2 linked regions of the Macaca mulatta genome follow. The protein of the gene in region 1 purifies or fractionates together with the protein of each later gene. This does not show direct contact. Links are inferred from orthologs where the notes say so. Each region holds a gene or a part of one and is shown on either strand. Other genes may lie near its edges.

Region 1 (6,375 bases):
TCTTTTGTTCTTTTCAGGCCTTCAGTTGATTGGATACGGCCTACTCACATTACGGAGGGCAATCTGCGTTATTCAAAGTCCACTGATTTGTTAATCTCATTGCAACATACCCTAACAGAAACAGTAGAATGTTTGACCACGTATCTGGGCACCATGGCCCAGCCAAATTGAACATCAGGTTAACCATCATACCAGTCAAGCTGTCAGATATAATTGCAGGAGTGATCCCAGGTGAGGCCATGACAACACCAGATTGCTAACCCACCGAATTGCCATTAGTCGTTTTTATTTTCCGCCACTAAGTTTTGAGGTGATTTGTTACACAACAAAAGGTAACTGAAACCAAACTATCTGCGAAAGTGTCTGTGGGTTTAGGCTGGGGGTTATGAGTAAGTGGACATTAACTTTTGTGGATGCTATAATCAAGAGGAGGGATATTGTGTATGTTACATGCTGGTACAGTCTCAAACAAAACGTGGCATACGTAAATGTAGGACGAGGCAACGGCACACAAGGCAAATTGGTTTGTGAATCATTTATTTAGCAGATATTTATTGCACACCTCCTATACACCAACCACTATTCTAGGAGCTGGGAAAACAAGACAGACACTGTCCCTGCCTTTGTGTAACTTACGGTTTGAGGGAAAAAGGCAATTAAATATGCAATTTCAAAAAGTTTGACAAGGAAGTACAAGTTGCTGCTGACCACACCAATTTTTGGGATTAGGAAAGGCTATCTAGAAGTGATATTTAATCCTTCATATTTATTTAAATAAATATTATTTATTATTATTTAAATAAATATTATTTAAATAAATATGAAGGAGGAGTTCACAGTTCACAGATTCGCTCAGCCTAATCCTTCATATTTATTTAAATGAAGGATGAGTAGAAATTTAGGAAGGGGATATAATGATACAAATGATTTTGGGTCAGCAGAGTACAAAAATGTTCTGGACAGAGGAAATATGTGTGATGGCTCAGAGGTGAGAAAAATCATGGTGTACTAAAGTCACAACAAAGACTTCTGTAGATCATATGGAGAAGCAGTAGAGATGAAGCTGGAGAGTAAAGCAGCAAATCAGCAATTAAAAAAGATGTTTGGAGTTGTTCAGTTTGGAGATGAAAAGTGACAAGATGAATTCTGGATTTTAGACAAAGCAATCCAACTTGAGAATGGAGAGGGATTTCAGAGGAGAAAAGAAATGAGCTGTTGTCAGTAAGAGTATTTAAATTAGGATACTGGTAACAAGGATGGAGAGACACACGATTATACATGGGAAGTGAGAGCAGAAAGCATGAGGACTATTTCTTGATTGTTTTTTTTTGCCTCAGGCAACTGAATAGATGAAGGTATTAATGAAACCAGGAACACTGAAGAAATAGTGACCAATTAAAGTACTTTGAGTTATCAGAGTGAGATGTCCTGTAGGTAGCTAGACAGTACTGGCTGGTAATTCAGAAGAGCTGCTGTGTTCTGTGTAAAAGGAAAAGCAATTCCTGGATGGTGGCTAAAGCCAGCTGGCAGGATTTAGGGGATGGGTTAGACCTGCACTTGTTTTCCTGGAGAAGAGGCGGGTATAAAGTGGCAGAGTGAGATTACTGTAAAATACCTGCATTCAAAGGGCTAAAAAAAAAGAGAAATGCTGGAACGGCTACTTGCTAGAAACGCAGCAGGGTAGGTTAAAACAAATCACGAAGCACGGGCGGCGAGGCTGGGGGGCAAACGCTAAGCCCTGCGTGATTTCGACTACACCGACACACAAAAGGGAAAGGGACCCTCCTCACCGGAAGCACAACCTCTGCCCTCTGGGGCATTACACATTCCTCCGCGCCGGAAGAACGCGTCGCGCCTCGCCTCGCCCCGTCGGCCTGGCTCTATCCCCACCTCTAGTGAAGGAGAGATTGCGCCTCTCCCCGACCCCCTACCTAGGGCGAGCCGCGTGGAGTCGTTGGACTGGGCAGAACTTTGGCAGGCAAGGAGAGAAACAGCCACACCGGGCTGCCAGGCAAGAGAAGAAGGAGGAAGGGCCAGATACCCGGGCGTCGCGCCGCTGCGGAAGGATTCCGTTTCCTGCGGGGGCGGAGGGATTTGACAGCACAGTAACTTCCGGAAAAGTCCTGACCCTCAGAGGAAAAGCCTTGCAAGAAACAATAACAAACGGGAGGAGGAAGCGGTTCTGGGGTGTCTGTGTTGAGCGGTTCTTTTCCGCGAAGATGCGCTTCGGCCCCAGTCAGGGGACGTGAACGGGCTCAGTGGGCTTCAGCCAGCTTTTCTCCACCGGTTCCCCACGGGGACCCCCCCCCCGGCCGCTGCAATGGCGGGCGTGGGGCCGGGGGGTTACGCGGCCGAGTTCGTGCCGCCCCCGGAGTGCCCCGTCTTTGAGCCGAGCTGGGAGGAGTTCACAGATCCGCTCAGCTTTATCGGCCGCATCCGGCCTTTGGCGGAGAAAACCGGCATCTGCAAAATTCGGCCGCCCAAGGTACCTCAGTCTGTGGAGAGAGAGGGGGAGAAGGAAGAATGGGGGAGTCCGTGCACTGGGTTTAGCCTTACTTTTCCGATCCTTCTCTCCTTTCGTATGTACTCTCCTTTATGTTGAGACAACCGGAGCCTGTTTCTGGATGTTTCTGCTTCGGTTTCTTTTGTGGTCTTATGTAGACACGTCTGAATGCGAGAAAGTGGTGTCTCTGGGGTCTTCCGCCTCGAACTTGGGAACTGATACTTTTCTCTCCGCTGTGGGCCTAAAGCCCTTCGTTAGCCAATATGAGGTTTAATTAAAGTACATTCTTCCCTCACGTATCCTCATTATGGTTTGATAGTCGGCTATCTCTATTCAAGACCTGATTGGATCAAATATTTGCAGGCCTCCTCTCAGGGCTAGGGTTTCTGAAAAGGTAATCTGAGCTCTAGTTCCACCAGATGGTATTATAGACATAGAACTTCAGACTAATCATTGCTGCAGTGAGAAAGTCTTACCGGGGAAAGAGGAGCAGCAATAATTCTAAAATTGAGAGGTTTAGGAAGAATTCATCTATAATGGAGGCGGGAGGAAATGTTGAAATCTCTTGACATAGGGAACTCAAGATCAACGATTTTAGAATCACAGTTATTGCAGATAACTAGGTTTGCCTATAAGGTTAATTATAATCTCAACATTGAGGTAAGGAAAGTAGGTACTATCCCTTGTGTGGAGGGGATTAATGCCCCAAGAGATTGAGTGAGATGCTCAAGGTCAAAAGGTGTTTTTCTTTACTCATTAGATCAGTGCTTTTTAAATGCTGTTGCGGGACCACTTGCACCTGGGTCAACTGGATGCTTATTTAAATGCAGATCTCTAGGCTTCTTGTGGAAGTTCTGGAATCTGCTTTTCTAGCAACTAGTCTCAGATGATTCTTCATGTAAGTTGAGGTTTTCGAACCATTGCTTTAGTCATTGCTTCTTAAAGGCATTTTGCTTTATGTTTTGTCTAGTATTGGTAATGATAAAATATTAAGCACTATTAACCAGTGTTGCATTTTAAAAAGCATCTGCCGTCACCACTGACTACCACAGTGATAGGCACCGCAGCGAATTAAAAACTTAAATGACAGCGAGGAGGAGCTAATTTAACACCTATAGATTGTTTGCTTTAATCTTTGAAGCCCTGATAGGTAAATGAAGTCCACCTTTTACAGATAAGATTAATCTGGATAAGTTAAAACACCAGATGGGTTATCTTGGGCAAGTGGCAAAGTATATTTTGAACCTAGATCGGTTTTTCTGATTCTGAAACAGACATAATGCTCTATGTAGAATGAGTTTAAGGTTATAGACTATTCGTTGCAAGCAGAGGATTAACAAATAATTGCTGTGATGATATGCATTGCCATCCTCCAAAAACTTCCATTTAACCCTTTTTTCTATCATAATTAGCTAATATTAACAAATCTTAAGCATTGAAGGTTTTCCTAAGTCGTATTTTCATCTACTCTTGAATTTATTAATTAGAAATTCTATTCACGGTTACTTCGATTAAAAAAAAGTTTTTTTTAACTTAAAAAATGTTGAAATAATGCTTTCTCTTTTTATGTCACATTATTGAAAATAAATCTTGTTTACAATCAGAATTTAATTTTAGTATTGGCAAATTTCTTTAGTTTCCAGGCTGGAGTGCAGTGGCACGATCTTGGCTCACTTCTGCCTCCACCTCCTGGGTTGTTTTTTTTTTTTTGACTACTCACGTTTTAAAATAGGTTTACTGTTATTCTGTTATTTAGGCCAAATCAAACTGTGTTATTTAGACCCCACTTGAAATATGCTCTCTGATTTTAGTTATATCACAGTCTGGAAACTGTCCTTGTTCTGTGTGTGTGCTTACTTTTTTTGTTGTTGAATATTTGGGTTCCCAGAAGCTGGGCTTTGAACAAAACTTTTGTGTAACATAAAGTGCTCTGTCGCGTTACACATACAGTACAAAAGAAAAAGTTTAAAAAGTTTATTTTTAATCTTTAATTTTACCCTTTTTGGTTTTTTAAATTTTTTGGTGTTTTTTTTTGATCTTGGTAAACCTGAATGTTTACTAGACACCGTTTTGTGGTACATGACCTCATTGAATTCCACTTGAGTAACTTGGGAAAGCATAATTGTGGGAGATAAACAGTGGGACTGGTTTGAAGAGGATTGCTTCTCTGGGTAATATAGGTTGAGCATCCATCCCTACTTTAAAAATTCCAAATCCGAAATCCTCCCAAATCTGAAACCAAGTTATCCTGAAACATTATTATTCTTTTTATTTTATAGAGACAGGGTCTCGCTTTGTTGCCTGGGCTGGTCTCATGCTCCTGGGCTCAAGCGATCCTCCTGCCTCAGTCTCCCAATGTGCTGGGATTACAGGTATGAGCTACTGCACCCAGCTTGAATAGATTATTTTTTTCATTGTATTAATGGTATGTCATATTTTTTCTGTTAACTACTTAAGTGGAAATAAGTGTAAGGAAATGATTGTTTATTGGTAGCATGTAAGAATTCACAGTCAGAAATGATGGTGATGCCAGACAACCACAGATTGTCCACACCGGATGGCTGAGTTAGTGACACCTTTCTTTTCTCATGGTCCAGTGTACACAAGCGTTATGCACCAAATTATTAAAAATATTGCATAAAATTACCTTTAGGCTATGTGTATAACTATATGAGACAAAATAATTTTGTATTTAGACTTGGTTTCTCTCTCCAAGATACCTCCTTATGTATATGCAGATATTCCAAAATATGGAAAAATCTGAAATCCAAAACACTTCTGGTCCCAAGCATTTCAGATGAGGGATACTCAACCTGTATTAAAATTATTTTATCTAAAAGAATTGCTCATTCTGTCTCTATAATAAAGAAGTCTTATAAGTTAGTCTATTAGCACCGTGATTATGGCAAAACCCCCCTTTAAGGGAATAAATAACGCATTCCTTGCTTAAATACCACTGTGTTTTTTTTAAAAAAACTTTCTATTTAGGACTGGCAGCCTCCATTCGCCTGTGAAGTAAAAAGCTTTCGTTTCACTCCAAGAGTCCAGCGCCTGAATGAACTTGAGGTAAGTGTTTTGTCACCGTTTCTGCCTCCTGATTCATTCTTTGTGTTCGGGCTGTAGGTAGAGAACTTTGAGAAGCTCATGGACCACAGCCTGGAGTTTGTGTTAATTGGTATTGAATAGTTACTTGATGTTTGGAGGAAGAGTGTGATTTTTTAAAAAATTGTGCAAAGTAGTTATGGTTTCTCCGTTTAACTGAGATCATGAGAAACTGTCTCTAGCCCTGTTGTTCTAGTGGAAATGTTCAATGTTTAGCTTCAATGCTTAGAATTCTTAAATTCTACTTTCTCTAGTGTTTCTTACTCTACTAAAAGTTTTGTTAATCTCCGAAGATTTCTGTCTCCCTTCATTCTTGGAAAATGGATTTTTAAATTATGTTTTAAAACCCTAGTTTTCAAAGTTAGTTTTGTTTTGTTTTGGTTTTGGTTTTAATGGAACTTTGCCAGGAGTGCTAATCTGATTTATTAAGATCTGCCTTTAAGCATTACTAATGTATATTAAATTATCTAAATGGAAGTCTATTTATGTATTGCTGTTTTTCCTGTCTGCGGATTTTCAGAAGGTTTTTCATTGTGATATGAAAACTTTTAGAGTACAGAAGGAAAATTATTGATAGCAAAGGTTTATTATGTCATTCTGAAGTGTTCCCCCCCCCCCAAAATATTTCTGAGAGTTTAATACATACTTTTTTTTTTCTTTTTTTGAGACAGAGTCTCGCTCTGTCAGCGAGGCTGGAGTACAGTGGCACGATCTTGGCTCACTTCTACCTCCACCTCCTGGGTTCAGGCAATTCTCCTGCCTCAGCCTCC
Region 2 (6,275 bases), on another chromosome or scaffold:
ATGGGATGGCTGGGCATGGTGGCTCCTGTCACCCCAGCACTTTGGGAGGTTGAGGTGAAAGGGATCACTTGAGGCCAGGAGTTCAAGACCAGCTTGGACAACATAGCAAGACCCCATCTCTACAAAAATTTTTAAAATTGGCCGGGCATGGTGGCTCACACCTATAATCCTAGCACTTTGGGAGGCCAAGGCGGGCGAATCTCTGGAGGTCAGGAGTTTGAGACCAGCCTGACCAACATGGTGAAACCCCATCTCTACTAAAAATACAAAATTTACAGGTGGTGCGTGCCTGTAATCCCAGATACTCGGAAGGCTGACAGGAGAATAGCTTGAACCCAGGAGGTGGAGGTTTCAGTGAGCCGAGATTGTGCCATTGCACCCCTGCCTGGGCGACGAGTGAAACTCTGTCTCAAAAAAAAAAAAAAGAAATTAGCTGGGCGTAGTGGCACATGCCTGTGGTCCCAGCTATTGAGGAGGCTGAGGTGGGAGGATCTCTTGAGCCCAGGAGTTTGAGGTTGCAGTGAGCTGAGATCATGCCACTGCCCTTGAGCCTGGGCAACAGAGTGAGACACTTTCTCTAAAAAAAAAAAAAAGAACCAAACCAAACAAAACACAGGCAGTGGGCAGACTGGCTGTGGCTTGCCGCTCCCTGGCCTCTTCCAGTCAGGGAACGTCATGGGCTCCAGCTTCTGCCAGTTCAAGTCATCTTTTCTGGTGTATTTCAAAGCCTCCCTGTGAGTATGGGGTCAATAGGCACAGGAAGGGACCTGGTGTGTGACAGAGGGGTGGGAGGCCCATTCATTCACACACCTCAGGACTTGTAGTGACTTCCTGTGTATTGGATTCTTCCGCCTCTCATTTGCGTCCATGATGTTGAATTCTGACTCTGTTTAAGCTGTAATGTCCACATGAAGCCATTCTAAAATCTCCAGATCCCTCTCAGAAGGCCCAAGGGATGACCAGTTACCATTTTTCTTTATCTTTGAAGGAAATTTCCAGAGCTGTTTGCACAGTTCAAGTCCTTCCTAGGGGTAAAAGAGCTGTCCTTCGCGCCACCCATGAGCGACAGATCCGGGGACGGGATAAGCCGGGAAATCGACTATGCATCTTGTAAGCGCATAGGATCCAGCTACCGGGCACTCCCCAAAACCTACCAGCAGCCCAAGTGCAGCGGGAGGACGGCCATCTGCAAGGAGGTAGCGCTCCCTGGGGCTTACATGTTCGCTGACATGGTGCATCCCCCACCCCTCCCCAGCAAACACCCAATACCCCCGTTTTGAATGAAATGCTGTGTGCTCAGCCCTCCTGAATGTTGGGTTATGGGTGGTGCTGGGATGTGGCCCAGCAAAACCACCTGAGCAGAGACAACAGTGTTGTACCCTGCTGGTAGTTTTGGCAAAACACAGAGTGTCAGGGATAATGTGGAGTTCACTTATTCATCTGTTATTTGAGTTAGGTTTATTGCTGCCATGATTCTGCTCCGTCCCGGGCTCACTGACCTCAGTGTGTTTCTGTTTAGCTTGACCATTGGACACTTCTCCAGGGTTCGTGGACAGACGATTACTGCATGTCCAAGTTCAAGAGTACCTGCTGGATTCCAGGATATAGTGCAGGGGTCAGCAAACTCTGGCCCATGGGCCCTGGCCCGCTGCCTGTGTTTGTAAATAAAGTTTTATTGGCACACAGACACAACCATTCATTTACATATTGCCTGTGGCTGCTTTTCTCACCACAAAGGCAGAGTTGAGTATTCATCCGGGATGGCCTGCAAAGTCTGAGATAGTTGCTCTCTGACCCTTTGCAGAGAAAATTTACCAATATCTGAAATGAAATCAGCCCTCCATATCTGCAAGTTCCTCATCTGTGGTTTCAACTAACCATGGATTGAAAATAGGTGGGGAGAGAGAAACCAAAAAATAACAGTACAGCAATAAAACGTAATCCACATTTTAAGAATGCAGTGTAACAATGATCTACACAGCATTTACATTGCATTAGGTATAAGTATTCTAGAGATGATTTTGCATAGGTTATATGCAAATAGGATTCCATTTGACATCAGGGACTTGAGTATCTGTGGATTTGGGTCTCCAGGGGTGGTTCTGGAACCAATCTCCCAGGATACCAAGGGAGTGTTCACTTGACCAAAGTCATGTTTTCCCTTAAAAACTTGATTCACCTTCCCATTTGTATAAGGCAGTTGCCTATCATATAATCAGGATTGTATTATGTATCTTGGTACTTTGTACACTGGCTAACAGTAAATCTTAGCTCCTGGGGCATGCAGCGCCGTTCATGGCGTTTCCTCTCGATGCAGGTACTGAATGACACCTGGGTCTCCTTCCCCTCCTGGTCTGAGGACTCCACCTTCGTCAGCTCTAAGAAGACACCGTACGAGGAGCAACTTCACCGCTGTGAGGACGAGCGCTTCGAGGTGTGTGTGGTGCTGTGGCCAGGCCTCCCAGCACATGCCTGTCCCCCTTCTCCACCGGACATGCGTCCTGATCCTCCTCCACTGTGCCAGTCTCCTTTTAGGAGCAGGGATTGCAGCACATTCCAGCAGCTCCTGGAAGCTTCCTGCTGGGTCTTGCTGGCCTCTGGGCTGGCTACCAGATGGCACTTTTTTTTTCTGTTTAAAAATTTTGTTTGGACTGGGTGTGGTGGCACACACCTGTAATCCCAGCACTTTGGGAGGCCAAGGCAGGTGGATCATTTGAGCTCAGGAGTTTGAGAACAGCCTGGGCAACATGGTGAAATCTCATCTGTACCAAAAATACAAAAATTAGCCGGGCTTGGTGGCGGGTGCCTGTAATCCTAGCTACTCGGGAGGCTGAGGCAGGAGAATTGCTTGAGCCAGAGAGGCCGAGGCTGCAGTGAGCCGAGATCAAGCCACTGCACTCCACCCTGGGCAATAAAATAAAAATAAATTTAAATTACGTTAAAGAAACTTTTATTTATTTATTTATTTTGCTTGCCCTGTCTCCCAGGCTGAAAGTGCAGTGGCACAATCATGGATCATTGCTGCCTTGACCTCCCAGGGTCAAATGATCCTCCCACCTCAGCCTCCTGAGTAATTGGAACCACAGGTGCACACTACCATGCCCAGGTTGTTGTTGTTTTTTTAACTTTTTTTGTAGAGATGAGGTCTCACTATGTTCCCCAGGCTGGTCTCACACTCCTGGCCTCAAGCGATCCTCTTGAGTAGCTGGGATTACAGACACACCACCATTCCTGGCTAATTTTTGTATTTTTAGTAGAGACGGGGTTTCACCATGTTGATCAGGCTGGTCTCGAACTCCTGACCTTGTGATCTGCCTGCCTCAGCCTCCCAAAGTGCCAGGATTACAGGCGTGAGCCACCGCACCGGGCCATAAATTTTTTTAATTAGCCAGGCATGGTGGTGCACACCTATATTCCTAGCTACTTGGGAAGCCAAGGTGGGAGGATCGTTTGAGCCCAGGAGGTTGAGGCTGCAGTGAGCTGTAATTGTGCCACTGCACTTCAGTCTGGGTGACAGAGCAAGACCCTGTTTCCTACACACACACACACCACCCCCCTCCAAAAATCCTCTGCGCTCTGAGGTCCCAGGCTCCTCCCTGAGGCCTCTTGAGTTCCCCAGTGGCTGACCCCTTCCTGCCTTCCTTTCCATAGTTAGACGTTGTCCTGGAGACGAACCTGGCCACGATCCGCGTGTTGGAAAGCGTGCAGAAGAAGCTCTCTCGGATGGCGCCCGAAGACCAGGAGAAGTTCCGGCTGGACGACTCCCTCGGGGGCACGTCAGAGGTGATCCAGCGCCGTGCCATCTATCGCATCTATGGCGACAAGGCCCCGGAGATCATCGAGAGCCTCAAGAAGAACCCCGTCACCGCTGTCCCTGTTGTCCTGAAAAGGTGCCCTGCGGCATCCCGCCTTCCCTTCCCTTCCCTTCCCTTCCCTTCCGTGCCGCAGGGAGCCCCTGGAGAGCTTGTTAGTGCTGTTTGTCAACAGGGGTAATCTCCAGGGGAGGTCTCAGGCCTAGGGCTGGCTTCCTGTATTTCCCAGTCTCCCACTCCTGAGAGGAGAGCACTGTGACCTTCTAGGACTTTCCACCTTGCACATAATCACATCTAGACATCTAAACTGCTTTAAGAGTCAGATGCAACCACTACACTGTGGCTTGCATTTTATTTAACGCTGCATCTCGGACACCATCTGGTGCTAGTGAACAGGTATTTATCAAGTGGCCACTTTAAGGCAGGTGCAATGCTTGGCCCTGGGGTTACGCAGCTGAGTGAGGCAGACCCAGTCCCTCTCCTCTTGGGACTCACAGCTGAGCAAGGGACCTGAGTGGCTGAGCTAGCAGCCATGCGGAGAGTGCTGGGTGCCTGGGAGGAGGCGGAGGACCCAGGAAGCTGGCCACATTGGCTCTGTAAGGCCATCACGCCCTTCCTCTGACGTGCACAGAGCCCACTGCATAGACTAGGCTGGGAGCTGGCTGGGCTTGGATCCTGGGCCCCCAGTCAAGTCCCAGAGGAAGACAGGCCAGCCCTGGGATGCTTCAGGGAGGATGCCCTGGCTTGTCCCTGGTGCTGACCCCTCTTCTCCCCACAGGCTGAAGGCCAAGGAAGAGGAGTGGCGGGAGGCCCAGCAGGGCTTCAACAAGATCTGGCGGGAGCAGTATGAGAAGGCGTACCTCAAGTCCCTCGACCACCAGGCTGTGAACTTCAAGCAGAATGACACCAAGGCCCTGCGCTCCAAGAGCTTGCTCAACGAGATCGAGAGCGTCTACGACGAGGTACAGCCTTCCCTAGCCCTGCCGGCTGGCGGGGGTGGGATCCTGGCTCTCCCGACCGCCAGGTCTGTGCCTCTGTTTCCCTGGTGCTTAGGTGGGGTAGCGGCATTGCTGTGTCGAGGCGAGGGTTCATGTCTCTGTGATGCCCAGCCTGCGGCCTGCCCTAGGAGAACCAGCAACTCTGCCATTGTCTGTTTGTTTGTTTAGAGGCAGAGTCTCGCCCGCTCTGTCGCCCAGGCTGGAGTGCAGTGGTGCGATCTCAGCTCACTGTAACCTCCACCTCCCCGGTTCAAGCGATTCTCCTGCCTCAGCCTCCCGAGTAGCTGGGACTATAGGCACGTGACACCACACCTGGCTAATTTTTGTATTTTTAGTAGAGACGGGGTTTCACCATGTTGGCCAGGCTGGTCTTGAACTCCTGACCTTGTGATCCACCCGCCTCAGCCTCCCAAAGTGCTGGGATTACAGGCGTGAGCCACCGTGCTCGGCCAACTCTGCCGTTGTCTGGAGAAATCTCTGTCCCTCCTGTGGGACAGTGACGGACTTCAGCTTAGATGGCAGGTGGCAGCAGCCTTCATTTCTTTCTTGCCGACTGTGCCCGGCACTGGTGTTAGCAATGCAGAAGGAGTCATATATCATCTGACCTCACTCCTGAACCTGACTCTGCTGCGTCATTATTCTGATTTTATTCCTCGGGGAAACCGAGGCACAAGAGGTTGCATTTGCCTGGGCTGGTCGCAGGGGGCCAGGGCTCCGAGTCAGTGGGTTCGAGGCTTTCGGCTGCACGTCCTCACTGCAGGCTCACAAGGCCTGAGTTACAGAACCAAGGCCAGCGGGACCCTCAGGTTGCCAGGAACTGGGCCTGTTAGTGGCTGTGCGTAGGGAGTGCCTGCCTGCAGGATCCTGAAGGGGGAAGCTTGGCAGGGTGTTGGGCATAGTGACAGCCAGCTGTCGGGAAGGTCCTTGGACACTCTGAGGAGGTGGCTGGGGAGGGCACGCTGCTCCCCAGGCAGTGCCCAGATCACGGCACGGGTTGCATTGTCAGCCTGGTGCCCACCTGGGCAGGGGGTGGTGCCTCACCTGATTTGGTGTCTTGCTCCCGTCACTGCACAGTGAGCGGTCGCTCCTTTTACAATATAGAAACGGAATCCACAGGAGCCAGGCTGCTGGCCCAAGGCCTCTCCCAGAGCCTGTGGGACTGTGGGGACCCCCTTCCCTCCCACCTCCCTCCCCATGGGCCACCCTCGCCCCAGGCCTACCCACAGCCGCTCTGGCTTCCTCACTCTAGTCCTCGGTGGATCCCCAAGCCCAAGACCCTGCATAGGTTCTGTGGGTCTGTAGTGTCTGCAAAGTGCAGATGATGAAGTAGCCCTGGAAATCCACCAATGAGACCCCGAGTTCCTGGGTCCCTCCCTGGGGCTGGGGCTGATGAGGCAAGGGGCACCAAGGTTGGCCCCCTGGCCTGACGGATCTCTGCACATGCAGGTCCTTGATGAGTTCCAAA

What was found.
Region 2: the proteins of KDM5A (region 1) and SIN3B purify together in Homo sapiens (affinity purification with mass spectrometry; 4 studies listed by BioGRID and IntAct, with this or other methods). This does not show direct contact. The link is inferred for Macaca mulatta from reciprocal best matches to the Homo sapiens genes KDM5A and SIN3B.

The regions. Positions count from the first base shown.
Region 1 is NC_133416.1:1,162,345-1,168,719, reverse strand, and holds the start of KDM5A (lysine-specific demethylase 5A), read left to right. Parts: upstream 1-2,096; 5' UTR 2,097-2,320; coding exon 2,321-2,485; intron 2,486-5,491; coding exon 5,492-5,569; intron 5,570-6,375. UniProt on the Homo sapiens protein: Histone demethylase that specifically demethylates 'Lys-4' of histone H3, thereby playing a central role in histone code. Does not demethylate histone H3 'Lys-9', H3 'Lys-27', H3 'Lys-36', H3 'Lys-79' or H4 'Lys-20'.
Region 2 is NC_133424.1:17,353,602-17,359,876, forward strand, and holds part of SIN3B (paired amphipathic helix protein Sin3b), read left to right. Parts: intron 1-988; coding exon 989-1,196; intron 1,197-1,519; coding exon 1,520-1,660; intron 1,661-2,317; coding exon 2,318-2,434; intron 2,435-3,651; coding exon 3,652-3,890; intron 3,891-4,590; coding exon 4,591-4,774; intron 4,775-6,275.